Linked DNA regions of Macaca fascicularis. The main gene of each other region encodes a partner of the protein of the gene in region 2 in a complex. Links are inferred from orthologs where the notes say so. Each region holds a gene or a part of one and is shown on either strand. Other genes may lie near its edges.

Evidence for each region.
Region 1: TBL1XR1 (region 2) and GPS2 share a complex: the UniProt entries of both Homo sapiens proteins name them as parts of the N-Cor repressor complex. The link is inferred for Macaca fascicularis from reciprocal best matches to the Homo sapiens genes TBL1XR1 and GPS2.
Region 3: TBL1XR1 (region 2) and CORO2A share a complex: the UniProt entries of both Homo sapiens proteins name them as parts of the N-Cor repressor complex. The link is inferred for Macaca fascicularis from reciprocal best matches to the Homo sapiens genes TBL1XR1 and CORO2A.

Annotation. Positions count from the first base shown.
Region 1 is NC_088390.1:7,369,453-7,373,799, reverse strand, and holds GPS2 (G protein pathway suppressor 2), read left to right. Parts: upstream 1-1,516; 5' UTR 1,517-1,570; exon of another isoform or gene 1,571-1,646; intron 1,647-1,787; 5' UTR 1,788-1,856; coding exon 1,857-1,950; intron 1,951-2,310; coding exon 2,311-2,420; intron 2,421-2,504; coding exon 2,505-2,617; intron 2,618-2,748; coding exon 2,749-2,828; intron 2,829-2,919; coding exon 2,920-3,002; intron 3,003-3,183; coding exon 3,184-3,337; intron 3,338-3,435; coding exon 3,436-3,525; intron 3,526-3,614; coding exon 3,615-3,694; intron 3,695-3,781; coding exon 3,782-3,877; intron 3,878-4,061; coding exon 4,062-4,145; 3' UTR 4,146-4,241; downstream 4,242-4,347. Other genes in the region: NEURL4 (neuralized-like protein 4), read left to right, coding at 577-781. UniProt on the Homo sapiens protein: Key regulator of inflammation, lipid metabolism and mitochondrion homeostasis that acts by inhibiting the activity of the ubiquitin-conjugating enzyme UBE2N/Ubc13, thereby inhibiting 'Lys-63'-linked ubiquitination.
Region 2 is NC_088376.1:88,740,464-88,743,942, reverse strand, and holds part of TBL1XR1 (F-box-like/WD repeat-containing protein TBL1XR1), read left to right. Parts: intron 1-469; coding exon 470-571; intron 572-1,424; coding exon 1,425-1,451; 3' UTR 1,452-3,479. UniProt on the Homo sapiens protein: F-box-like protein involved in the recruitment of the ubiquitin/19S proteasome complex to nuclear receptor-regulated transcription units. Plays an essential role in transcription activation mediated by nuclear receptors.
Region 3 is NC_088389.1:59,988,297-59,991,943, forward strand, and holds part of CORO2A (coronin-2A), read left to right. Parts: intron 1-692; coding exon 693-809; intron 810-3,401; coding exon 3,402-3,551; intron 3,552-3,647.

The DNA.
Region 1 (4,347 bases), on a different chromosome or scaffold from region 2:
CCTCGGCCTCCCAAAGCGCTGGGATTACAGGCGTGAGCCACCGCGCCCAGCCAGTATTTAGTATTTTTAAAGGTAATAAGTAAGGACTATGGAAACAAAGAAAGAGTGGGGCGAAGGAGACAGCAGTGTGGCTGGTGTGGGCATCGTAAGAAAGAGTGGGGCGAAGGAGACAGCAGTGTGGCTGGTGTGGGCATCGTAGGAAAGAGTGGGGCGAAGGAGACAGAAGTGTGGCTGGTGTGGGCATCGTAAGAAAGAGTGGGGCGAAGGAGACAGCAGTGTGGTTGGTGTGGGCATCGTAGGAAAGAGGGGGGCGAAGGAGACAGCAGTGTGGCTGGTGTGGGCATCGTAAGAAGGTGGGAGAGATTCGAGCAAAGGCTTGAAGAAGGAAGTGAAGGGTGTAGCTGAGCAGGCTTTGGGAGGAAGAACATTTCAGGTAGAAAGAACAGCTAGAGTGAAGCTCCTATAAGGCGGGAGTATTTCCTAGGTACAGCAAGGCTTGTGTGGTTGGAACAGACTTTGCAAGGGGGAGGTGATGGGGAGAGAAGCTTCACTCCCTTATTTTTTCCTGTTTGACAGATTCCGGGACCCCAAATCCCAGCGGACGCACCAGGCTCAGGTGGCGTTCCAGGTGTGTGTGCGCCCTGGCTCCTACACCCCGGGACCCCCTTCCGCTGCCCTTGGAGAACCTCCTGACCCTCACTTCAGTCCAGCCGAACTTGAGTGGGTCACTAAGGAGAAGGGGGCCACACTCCTCTATGCCCTGCTGGTACGGGTGGAATGAGGGGTGACACACAAATACTACAAGCACAGTCGGGCCTCGGGCCCATGGACTCTGGCGACTGCCTCCACCTCATTCCCGTGACTCGTGGCATGCGCAGGTGCTGGAGCTTGGCAGCCGCGCAGGAGCATGTAGGCAGGCTCTCAGATGTAGGTGGCAAGTGGCACAGCTCCATGTCTGGAGGCCCAGCACTCCGTCTGATGGGAGGAGCCGTGGGAGCCCAGCTCCAGGCCCTGGTACCCCTCTTCATGCACTGATTTGGGGAACATGACTCCCTTTTACTCCCCTTCCCCACATCACTTAATTTATTTCCGTTTTTGTTTCTGGTTACTGTGAATCCCAGAGGAGTCTCTCCCTGTGCCCACATGAAGCTGCTTTTTCCGGGGCCACCAGGCGGGAGTGGGGAAGGGTGGGCGCACGGAAGATGGGGGCCTCTGTACAGTTGTTACTGACTCTGATTTCTAAGGAGCCAATAAACACCGTCTCAGAGCCTCCGCCTCGGCCTCTCTCTCGCGCGCCCCTCCCCGGAGCCCGCGTCCCCTGGGGTGCCACCAGGTGGGCCCGCGAAATTAAAGAGAGCTGAGGATGCCAAGACCAGTTTACAGCCCTCGTCGCCCGCGTTCCCGGCTACGGGGTTTGGACGCCGCGGGCACCCGTCGCAGCGCGCTTCCGCTTTCTCTCACCCAACCCGTGAGGTCGGCCGCAGCCGTGACTCCGGAAGGACTTGGCCGGGCCGCCGGATGTGACGTACGGGCCAGGGCGCGCCGGAGCTGCTGAGAAAGCGCAGAGAAGGCGGGTAGGGAGGGCTGGCGTCCGGGCTGGCTGGGCAGGGAGCGGCAGCACCGAGTCGGGGATCCCGGCGCCGCCCGTGCGCGCGGTGGAGCGGGGGCTGCGGGCCCGGCCGGGTGGCGGGCTCCTGGGACACGTGACCGGGGCGGCTAGCGGGTCGGGCGGACGGGCTTCCGCCTGGGCCGGGCGCGGTCCCCTCTGAGCGCCCGCCTCCCCGCAGGCGCCGTCTGAGGTCTGGCAGTCAGAGACAGAGCCGGGCGCCCACGGCCCGAGCGCCCACGGCAGCACCATGCCCGCACTCCTGGAGCGCCCCAAGCTTTCCAACGCCATGGCCAGGGCGCTGCACCGGCACATTATGATGGAGCGGGAGCGCAAGCGGCAGGGTGAGCCGGGGCCATAGCGGGGGGACACACGGCCCAGAATGGCTCCTGTACCTCAGGGTTGGCCTCAACCCAGCGGCCAACCAGTGAGCCCGCTGCCGAGCGCAGAGGAGGGAAGGAATAGCCCCGTTGTGGTGGGATTTAAGCGTCCTGGTCCACGCTCCAGAACCCTTGAGACGGGAAGGACCTTGGAGAGCACCTGATAAAGCCTCTCCGTTCCCTATTGCAGCGATGGGGGAGCTTGTCCCCTCGAGGCAAAGAGCGCACAGGCGTGTTGGGATGACTGGGTTTTGCTGGTCTTCAATCTAACGTTGGAACTGTTTTCACTACCCTGCCTCTTCTTCATTCTGCCTGATTCTCCAGAGGAAGAAGAGGTGGATAAGATGATGGAACAGAAGATGAAGGAAGAACAGGAGAGAAGGAAGAAAAAGGAGATGGAAGAGAGAATGTCACTAGAGGAGACCAAGGAACAAGTAAGCAGTCCCTTGAACTCTCCCAGCTTTGATTTCTTCCCTTGACTCTCCCTGCCTTCATCTTCTCTTCCCACTCCCTCCCAGATTCTGAAGTTGGAGGAGAAGCTTTTGGCCCTACAGGAAGAGAAGCATCAGCTTTTCCTGCAGCTCAAGAAAGTTTTACATGAGGAAGAAAAACGGAGGCGAAAGGAACAGAGGTAGGATCAGAGTACTAAAAACTGAAATGGGGGCCAAGTGGAACTGGGATCAAGTAATAAAAGAACTAGTGTTTAATGGCGAAAGAGAAGGCATCTGTCCTTAGCTTTGACCTGCCTTCCTCTCACTCCAGTGACCTGACCACCCTGACATCAGCTGCATACCAGCAGAGCCTGACTGTCCACACAGGAACTCATCTCCTCAGCATGCAGGGTGAGGACTAAAGAGACCACCTGATGGAACCGGCCTTCTTACAGGTTGCAGCCTCCCATTTCAGCATCATGAAGCCCTTCTCCCTTTCTAGGGAGCCCTGGAGGACACAATCGCCCAGGCACCCTCATGGCAGCTGACAGAGCCAAACAAATGTTTGGACCCCAAGTGCTTACGGTGAGAGTAGGATTGGATGCCCAGCCCCTACTGCTTCCATCCATGCATCCTTGCCACCAGTATTCAAGTCACAAACATATCAAGCACTTAAGTTTAGGGGGAAATGGGGCATACAGATATACACAAGTCACTGGGTTTCAGCTTTCAAGTTTATAGGCGAATTCTCATTCTCCCTCCTTAGACCCGGCACTATGTGGGCTCAGCAGCTGCTTTTGCGGGGACACCAGAGCATGGACAATTCCAAGGCAGTCCTGGTGGTGCCTATGGGACTGCTCAGCCCCCACCTCACTATGGGCCCACACAGCCAGCTTATAGTCCTAGTCAGCAGCTCAGAGGTGAGTAATAGGAGGGATGGGGCTTGGCCTTCCTCAACGTCAAAGGAGGAATGCCGTTGAGTAAAAGGTTTTAATGGCTCTGTCTTTTCCTTTCTCAGCTCCTTCAGCATTCCCTGCAGTGCAGTACCTATCTCAGCCACAGCCACAGCCCTATGCCGTGCACGGCCACTTTCAGCCCACTCAGACAGGTGATAACATCCCATGCAGGAGCTCTAGCTCTCTGGGTCCTCCCCTCCCTGTTTCATTCTCATCTCACATGCCCCTCTTCCCCACGTAGGTTTCCTCCAGCCTGGTGGTGCCCTGTCCTTGCAAAAGCAGATGGAACATGCTAACCAGCAGACTGGCTTCTCCGACTCAGTGAGTATGGCATCTTGGGAGGTCAGGGTTAGGGATATGTTAAGGGGAGCATCAGTATGCCTCAGGCCCTGACTCTGTTCTCTGCAGTCCTCTCTGCGCCCCATGCACCCCCAGGCTCTGCATCCAGCCCCTGGACTCCTTGCTTCCCCACAGCTCCCTGTGCAGATGCAACCAGCAGGAAAGGTAAGAATGATAATAAAGTTTACCTGTCAGAATCCTTACACTAGGGATCCAGAAAAGCAGGATTAGGTAGGACCGGTGGCCCACATCACCTGGTTTTTCTTCCTCTCTGGGGGTGGTTACCAGTAGGGCATTAAGTGGGAGAGTACGCCCAGTGACAAAGCCCTCTTTTCATCACCACCGCCAGTCGGGCTTTGCAGCTACCAGCCAACCTGGCCCTCGGCTCCCCTTCATCCAACACAGCCAGAACCCGCGATTCTACCACAAGTGACGATCAGATTATATCTTCAACATCATGCCCCCTGCCCCACTGTGGGTGAGGATACCCCCCGTGTGTCCCAGGCCAATAAAATCTACCTGCCACTGACCCTGGCTGCTGCTGTTTGTGTTGCCTCCCACCCAACTGTCTGGAATAGGTCAAGGCTGCTTGGGGGGTGGGGGGATGACTGGCAGGTCCACAGCAAGTCAGTGAT
Region 2 (3,479 bases):
GTAAATATAGAGTGAATAACAGAGTTACACTGGAATTATCTTTATTAGTTTGTTATACTTCCTCTTTAAGAAGTTCTGTCAAAGAAATTCTGAATTTATTTTGTTTCTTTACATGTTAGCTAGACTCATGCGTCATTTAGCAACAACAAAAACTTATTTGATAGACTGAATGTTTACTTCTAGCTATTGTTGGCTATGTCAAAGAGACCAGATACCTTAGCCAAGAATGGTTATCAACACTGGAGAAACTGAATATGTGTGTGAGTAATCTTTTGAGAACAGGCTGGTATCATCTTTTTATAAAGGGATCGTATTACAGTTCTAGAATTTCAGAACTTATTTTGTATAGTTGAAGCTAAGTCCCTCCTTTGATTGCTAGAAATAAGGCCATGTAATATTTTTATTTCAGCATTTGGATTTATTATAATATGTATTATGATTTTTAAGATTTTGTTTTTCATTCTTTTAGACAGGTGCTCTAGTTCACAGCTATAGGGGAACAGGTGGAATTTTTGAAGTTTGCTGGAATGCAGCAGGAGACAAAGTTGGAGCCAGTGCATCAGATGGTTCAGTAAGTATAGTAAAGTGTTTCCAAAGAGGGTGTGGGTGGGTATTCACATCAGAATGCAGCTTATTGTTAGTGATACCAAAGTTGTTTTTTTTTTTTTTTCTCAAAATAAATTTTAAGATATGATACTGATTTTTTTTTTCCTGAGGCTGTAAACTTCTCATGTGCGTTGGATTTAAATAGTGTAAACCAAATTTAGGCTGTCCTTACCAAAAGAGTACCTTATAATCTAGAAATGGACAGTTATTTTTAATGTGAACCTTCATTTATGAAATTAGGTATACCAGAGTAACATTCTGAGAAGGATTGAAATTTTTAATGTGTATTTCTACCTTCTCCTCTTCACAGAAGAGTTTTTTTTTTTAGCTCAGGGAAGGCAGAACTAGAGGTGGTTCCTGTGTTGAGGAATGTGTGATACTGGAAGATTTTCAGAATGAGGTTGGCCAAGTCTTTACAACAATGCAAATATGGCTTCCAAAGCTGTAGAAGTAACAGAAGATGGGGAAGGGGTAGCTATTTACTGATGCTGTAGCTGAATATAATACGTGATATCTTTCATTAGGGTCCAATAGATAGGAAATGGTTGTTTTGAGCATTTTCTCCTACCTTTTAAATCAACAGAGTATTAAAAATCCTAGCCATGGTTCTTCCCCCATAGTTTGAGCTCATGGTTGTTCTCTTGACCTGCTTAAATCTAATTTCTGTCAGTTAACCGCTCATTTCCATGATTATCATGCTTTACCAATTTTATAAACTTGGAACTAAGAAACATTTCAAATTGTACTATAGAAAAGTTAAACATAAAATGTACAATAAAATTCTGAATACACTGGTTGATTATTCTAATTTCTTACAGGTTTGTGTATTAGACCTTCGGAAATAGCGCTACTAGTTGGAAGCCATGGACCGACTATGAATGTGTACATAGCCAAAATGACTGTCCCTGACCCATGTACTGCTATAGTCCCACTTGAACCATGGCCAGTCCACTACAGCCAAATCTAAAAGAAATATATACATAAGTGTATATACACAAAATTGCACCCTGAAGATGACAGAGTTTTGTCACAGCTTGTGAATTCTGTTCACCAAGTGCTGGAATCTAATCTGCTGTGCCCCTAAAATAGCATTTAGAAGTTTTGGATATGAAAAACAGAAGAGAGAAAAATATACATTATAAAAGCAGAACATACATGTACCAGTTTTTGGATACTAAATGACAGCCTTGTTTCTCCCCTTTGAATCAGCAGACACCATGGATTATATTCTTTTTTCCCTTCAGTAGTGAGCAGTTTGTATGTACAGAGAAAATGGACTTACAGAAACTTGCAGCAGTAGTTTGTTCTTGCTTTAAAATTTTGTTTTTGGTTTAGATTATGGATGCATGAAGTAAGGGAGTGAATCAGTTTCTTGTTTATATTTTTTTCACCTTTTAAACAACAAAAAATTCTTTAAAATATTTTAATGCATTCTTTTGAAGAGGTAGATGTTTGGTACATTTTATGGCTCCCAGAGCATATATTCAGTTGGTGCATGTTGTGGAAGGGGGAATTGGAAATTAAATGAAAACCTATGACTTTGGTCATGTCAATCTGTAAGACACATCAGTAAAAGGGTATTATGCTCTGTTGGTTTTGTTTTTTTGTTTTGCTTTTTTTTTTTTTTTTTTTTTCTGTTTTGTTTTTTGGTGATGTGGCTTAAATGCAATAGTTTCTTTTTTGGGACATATTTCTGCCAATTAAAGACTAGAAGGGCACAATTTTTTTTTTTAATTACCATAGAGAAGATACATTAAAAAAAAAAAAAATCTTCTGATGTTTTGTAGCCATAACTAAATTATGGTAAAAGTGTGCACTATTGTGAAAAGGAGCAAAGTAGTTTTGGGTTTTTTGTTGTTTGTTTGTTTTGCTTTGTTTTTTAAGAGATTAAAATGTTTCTGGATAAGGATTAGCTTCTCAAAGTGTCCATCATTCTGTGTAGAAGCTTAAATATGTAAATGTAACCAACCTCCAGTATTAAAAATCTCTCATGTTGTTTTCTTTATACAAAGCAAGATAACGGCATATAACACTGCCATTACATGGCAAAATGTTTGCTACCTTAGTTTAAAAAACAATCTCAAACAAAAGACTTGCTTCAAGGTGTTTTTAAATAGCAGTGATTCAGAATTTTTTTTATGAAAATATAATTGCACTAACCTTCTTCCTGCTGCTCTGATTCTGCATTTGTGGTACTTGTGACTACGTTTTTTCAAATATAGATCGATTTAAGCTGCTAATTTTTTTTTCAGTAATCACTACTATATCATGTCTTTTACTCTGTTTATAATATCAAGTATTTTCTTAAAGATATAGATATTAAATTAAACCTTGTGCTCATGCAAGTTAGAGTAACATATACAAATGATTGCATGAGGCCATGTTTATATGTGTGATTAATAAGGCTTGTCATGATTAACATAATCCAGGTATGTCATTTCTGAAGAGAATAGTCATCAAATTTATATCTCAAAGATTTTAATTAAGGAATTGCTTATTGTTGAGCTTAGCAAATTAATAACACTATTTCTGTCACTAATTATTTTGAGGCCTTTTAGTACTAAAATTTTAACCTGTGTTCTAAGTTTAGGTAGAAACTGATTTAACCCAAGTAATGCAGCTTTGATTTTCAGCATTTGTTGCTTTGCTATTTTTACAAAACAGCATTGATTGAAGCAAGTCTTCGTTTTACTAAGGTAGGGTAGCATTTGCTATTGGTAAAGAGAATAAATACACTTAATTTCACAATACATTGTTATATGTACCCCAGTTGTTGTTAGTGGGGACTATGATACTGTAATAATATTTTTAAAAATTTACATCCAGAGAGGCAGTCATTCACGATGGTTTTGTGCCAGCTCTTTTTAGGGTTT
Region 3 (3,647 bases), on a different chromosome or scaffold from region 2:
CCAGGCTGGAGTGCAATGGTGCAATCACAGCTCACTGCAACCTCCGCCTCCCAGGTTCAAGTGATTCTTCTGCCTCAGCCTCCTGAGTAGCTGGGATTACAGGTGCACGCCACCACGCCCCGCTACTTTTTGTGTTTTTAGTAGAGACGGGGTTTCACCATGTTGGCCAGGCTGGTCTTGAACTCCTGACCACAGGTGATCCACCCACCTTGGCCTCCCAAAGTGCTGGGATTAGGTGAGCCAGTTTCTTGTAGACTTATCTTTTCATTTTCCGTGGGGATAGACCTAGGAGTGAAATTGCTGGGTCATGTGGGAATTCCTTTTAACCTTTTGAGGAACTGCCAGACTATTTTCCAAAAGAGCTGCACCATTTTACATGCCCGCCAGCAGTGTATGAGGGGAAATGCCCTTTTATTGAACATCTGCCATGTGCTAGCTACTCCCTCCCATGATCCTCACACCAGCCTGTGAAATACCTGTGATTGCTCCCTTTTACTGAGGAGGACACCAGAGCTCAGAGAAGTGAAGTAACTCCCCCGGATCACACAGGGAATAAGAAGTAAGGCCTAGATTCACACCCAGCTCTGTCCCTTACATGTTCCTGTTGACTGGTTGCTGACTGACTACATGACTGTCCAGATGCTAATGTGGAATCCACCTCCTCCCCAACCCTTCTGGGCACTGTCTTGCAGACAGGGAAGTTGGACCCCCACTACCCAAAGGTCTGCGGGCACAGAGGGAACGTTCTGGATGTCAAGTGGAACCCTTTTGATGATTTTGAGATCGCCTCCTGTTCTGAAGACGCCACAGTGAGTGTCAGCCCCTCCTGAAGAGTGGGATTGGGGTGGGTGGGGTGGAACGGTACCTGTTCTTGGCTCTGGTGCCCCTGACTCCATCGCGGAGTTGAGGTCACTGTGTGGGGAGGTGTTAAGTTAGGTAGAGGAGGAGACATTCTAGGTGCTGTAGGACTATGGGCCTTAGTTCCCCGCCTATAAAATGGGCATAATAGCTCCACCCAGCTAATAAAGCCCAGTGAAAATGTGTATTCCGATGGGAAAGCCCATCCTTTTGGGGGGCTATAAAAGGCTACAAGGGGCATTTTTATGGTGATCAGAAAAGATGTTCCACTTAATCCCACAGTGAAGAAGCGAGCTGTAAAAGGCTGTGAGGGCCTTGGATGAATGTGGACACTAAAACCACTCCAGCAGCTTCAGTCTCACTCACTTTTTTGAGCCTGTGTTCTGTACCAGGGTTATCATTCCTACCCCAACAATGTGCAGTGTTACTTATTTATAGTTCATTTCGTACCCACTTTTAAAATATGATGGATATGGCTTAAGACAAGAACCACAGATGTGCCAGGTTCAGTGGCTCACACCTGTAATCCCAGCACTTTGGGAGGCTGAGGTGGGAGAATCACTTGAGGCCAGGAGTTGGAGACTAGCCTAGGCAACATAGTGAGACCCTGTCTCTACTAAAAAATTAAAAATCACAGATATGATCAGATGATTAAAATAAAGATAAAAGTCATTATCACCATTTATTGTGAGCCACCGTATTCCTCACTGTCACCATACTCATCGTCTCACAGTCTCCCCAGCAACCCCACAAGGTAGGACATTTTTCTAATGGAGAAGCTGAGGATCAGAGAGGTACAGCAACTTGCCTAATGTTTCACAGCCTGTGGGAGGCAGAGCCAGACTTCAGACTGAGGCCTGATTCCAGAGCCCATTCTCTTTCCAATGTGCCATGACACATCTTTAAAGAGCAGCAGCCACAGATGGAGAAAGTGAGGAAATACTAGAAATGATGGCTAAGGAGGGTTGCAGCAGCCAAGCTCCTAGCTTAGCTAAGAGCTCCCTGGCAGCCAAGGCAAAATGGGCAATAGAATGTATTGCAAAACCTTCAGTTAGATCAAAAGAAGCAGACCAGTTCATCAGGAAAGGAAAGCAGAAAATTCAAAGAGGATTTGTGTCGGTTTCCATATAGCAGATGCTGAGGAACATAAAGGACAGGGTCTGCCGAGGTGATTTTACCAAAGGGACAGTCAGGTCCTGTGAGAATTGGCCCTGTCCCTAGGGAGTACAGGGCCTCTGGCAGGATGTCAGATATCTGAAACTGTCCCCACTTTTGTAATACCTGCCTTTTCAGAACTGCTTTGAAGGCTCCCATCAAGATCTTTCTTAAATCTCTTGCTAGCCTCATTGCCTGCCACTATCCCTTCCCTGATGCCCCAGGGCAGGACATAACTGTTGGGGGACTGAAGAAGGAAGGGGCTTTTCTCCCCGAAGCTATGCCCACAGTGAATTTATGGAGTGAATTCATTCGTGTTCCTCCCTGCGTTCAGGGCCTGGAGGGCACGGTCGCTCCTCTAGCACTGGGGAGTCTTCTCTGCTTCAGTGTTGCGGGTGGTACCTGCATCTTCCAAACACACCTGTTCACAGTGTGTCTTCCTCCTGGGGTTCTATGTGGTGAGAGCCCTCACCACACCGAAGTATCTGGAACCTGGCACTACTCTCGTGGGGTTGGCTTCCTGGTTTTAAATCCAAGATGACCAGGAAAGAAATATTTGCTGAATTGAAAGCAAAGTTGTCTACCTGAAAAACCTGTATAACTCTAAGGGAAACAGTGCGTAAAATCAACTACGGGCCAGAGAACCTTGCAGGACCAATAAGGAAGGTCAAGTCAGCAGCATCCCAGGCTCGCCTTGTACTCCATTTGTATACCTCTGTGACAGGGAGCTTACTCTCCGCCATGGCAGCCCCCTCCATCTTCAGACAACATGACTCTGGAAGGAAGTCCCAGTGCCTCTCCTCAGGCCCTCACCATGAAATACAGGCCTCTGACCCCATCCAGTCCAGCCTCTTGACCTTCAGAGTTTCCTCTTGCAGGCCATCCAGGGTGCACCTGCAAAGCAAGAAGTTTGTCCCTGCCCTGCTCCAGAGACCTCGCTGGCTCCCTAGTGCCCTGAGGATGCAGCCTAAACCCTTCATCCTGGCATTTGAGGCTCTACCCTGGGCCTTTGGGACAAGAAGCATGTAGAATACTGTACTGTGGGGGATATCCTAGCTTAGGAGGCCTGAAACCCAGCCACCTGCCCACCACCTCAGGCCAGCAGAATGACAAAGATCTCTCAAGGGCATATTTGGAGGCCTAGACTCATCCCTGGTCAGCACTGACCCCTGCTCGGGCTGGAGGAGCTTGGGGAAGCCCCTGTCCCTCTGGGGACCCTCAGCTGCCCCTCCACTGCCCCTCAGTGCCCATAGCCACTGAGTGGGAGGTGGCCATGGAGAGAGCTCCCTTGGTCCTTCTGCTGGTCACTGCCAGATCTGTGGCTTAGGCTGGTGACGGTGCCAAGGTGCCCTGGCTGATGCTCCCTTGGGCCACGTCTCCCCTGCCAGATTAAGATCTGGAGCATCCCCAAGCAGCTGCTGACCAGGAACCTCACGGCCTGCAGGAAGGAGCTCGTGGGCCACGCACGCAGAGTGGGCCTGGTGGAGTGGCACCCCACGGCCGCCGACATCCTCTTCAGTGCCGGCTATGACTACAAGGTGAGTCTGGGTGTTCTTCTTCTGGGGCAGCCCCTACAAATTCCCACGAACTGGAATACCACAGAAATTTATTCTGTCACAATTCTGGAGACCAGA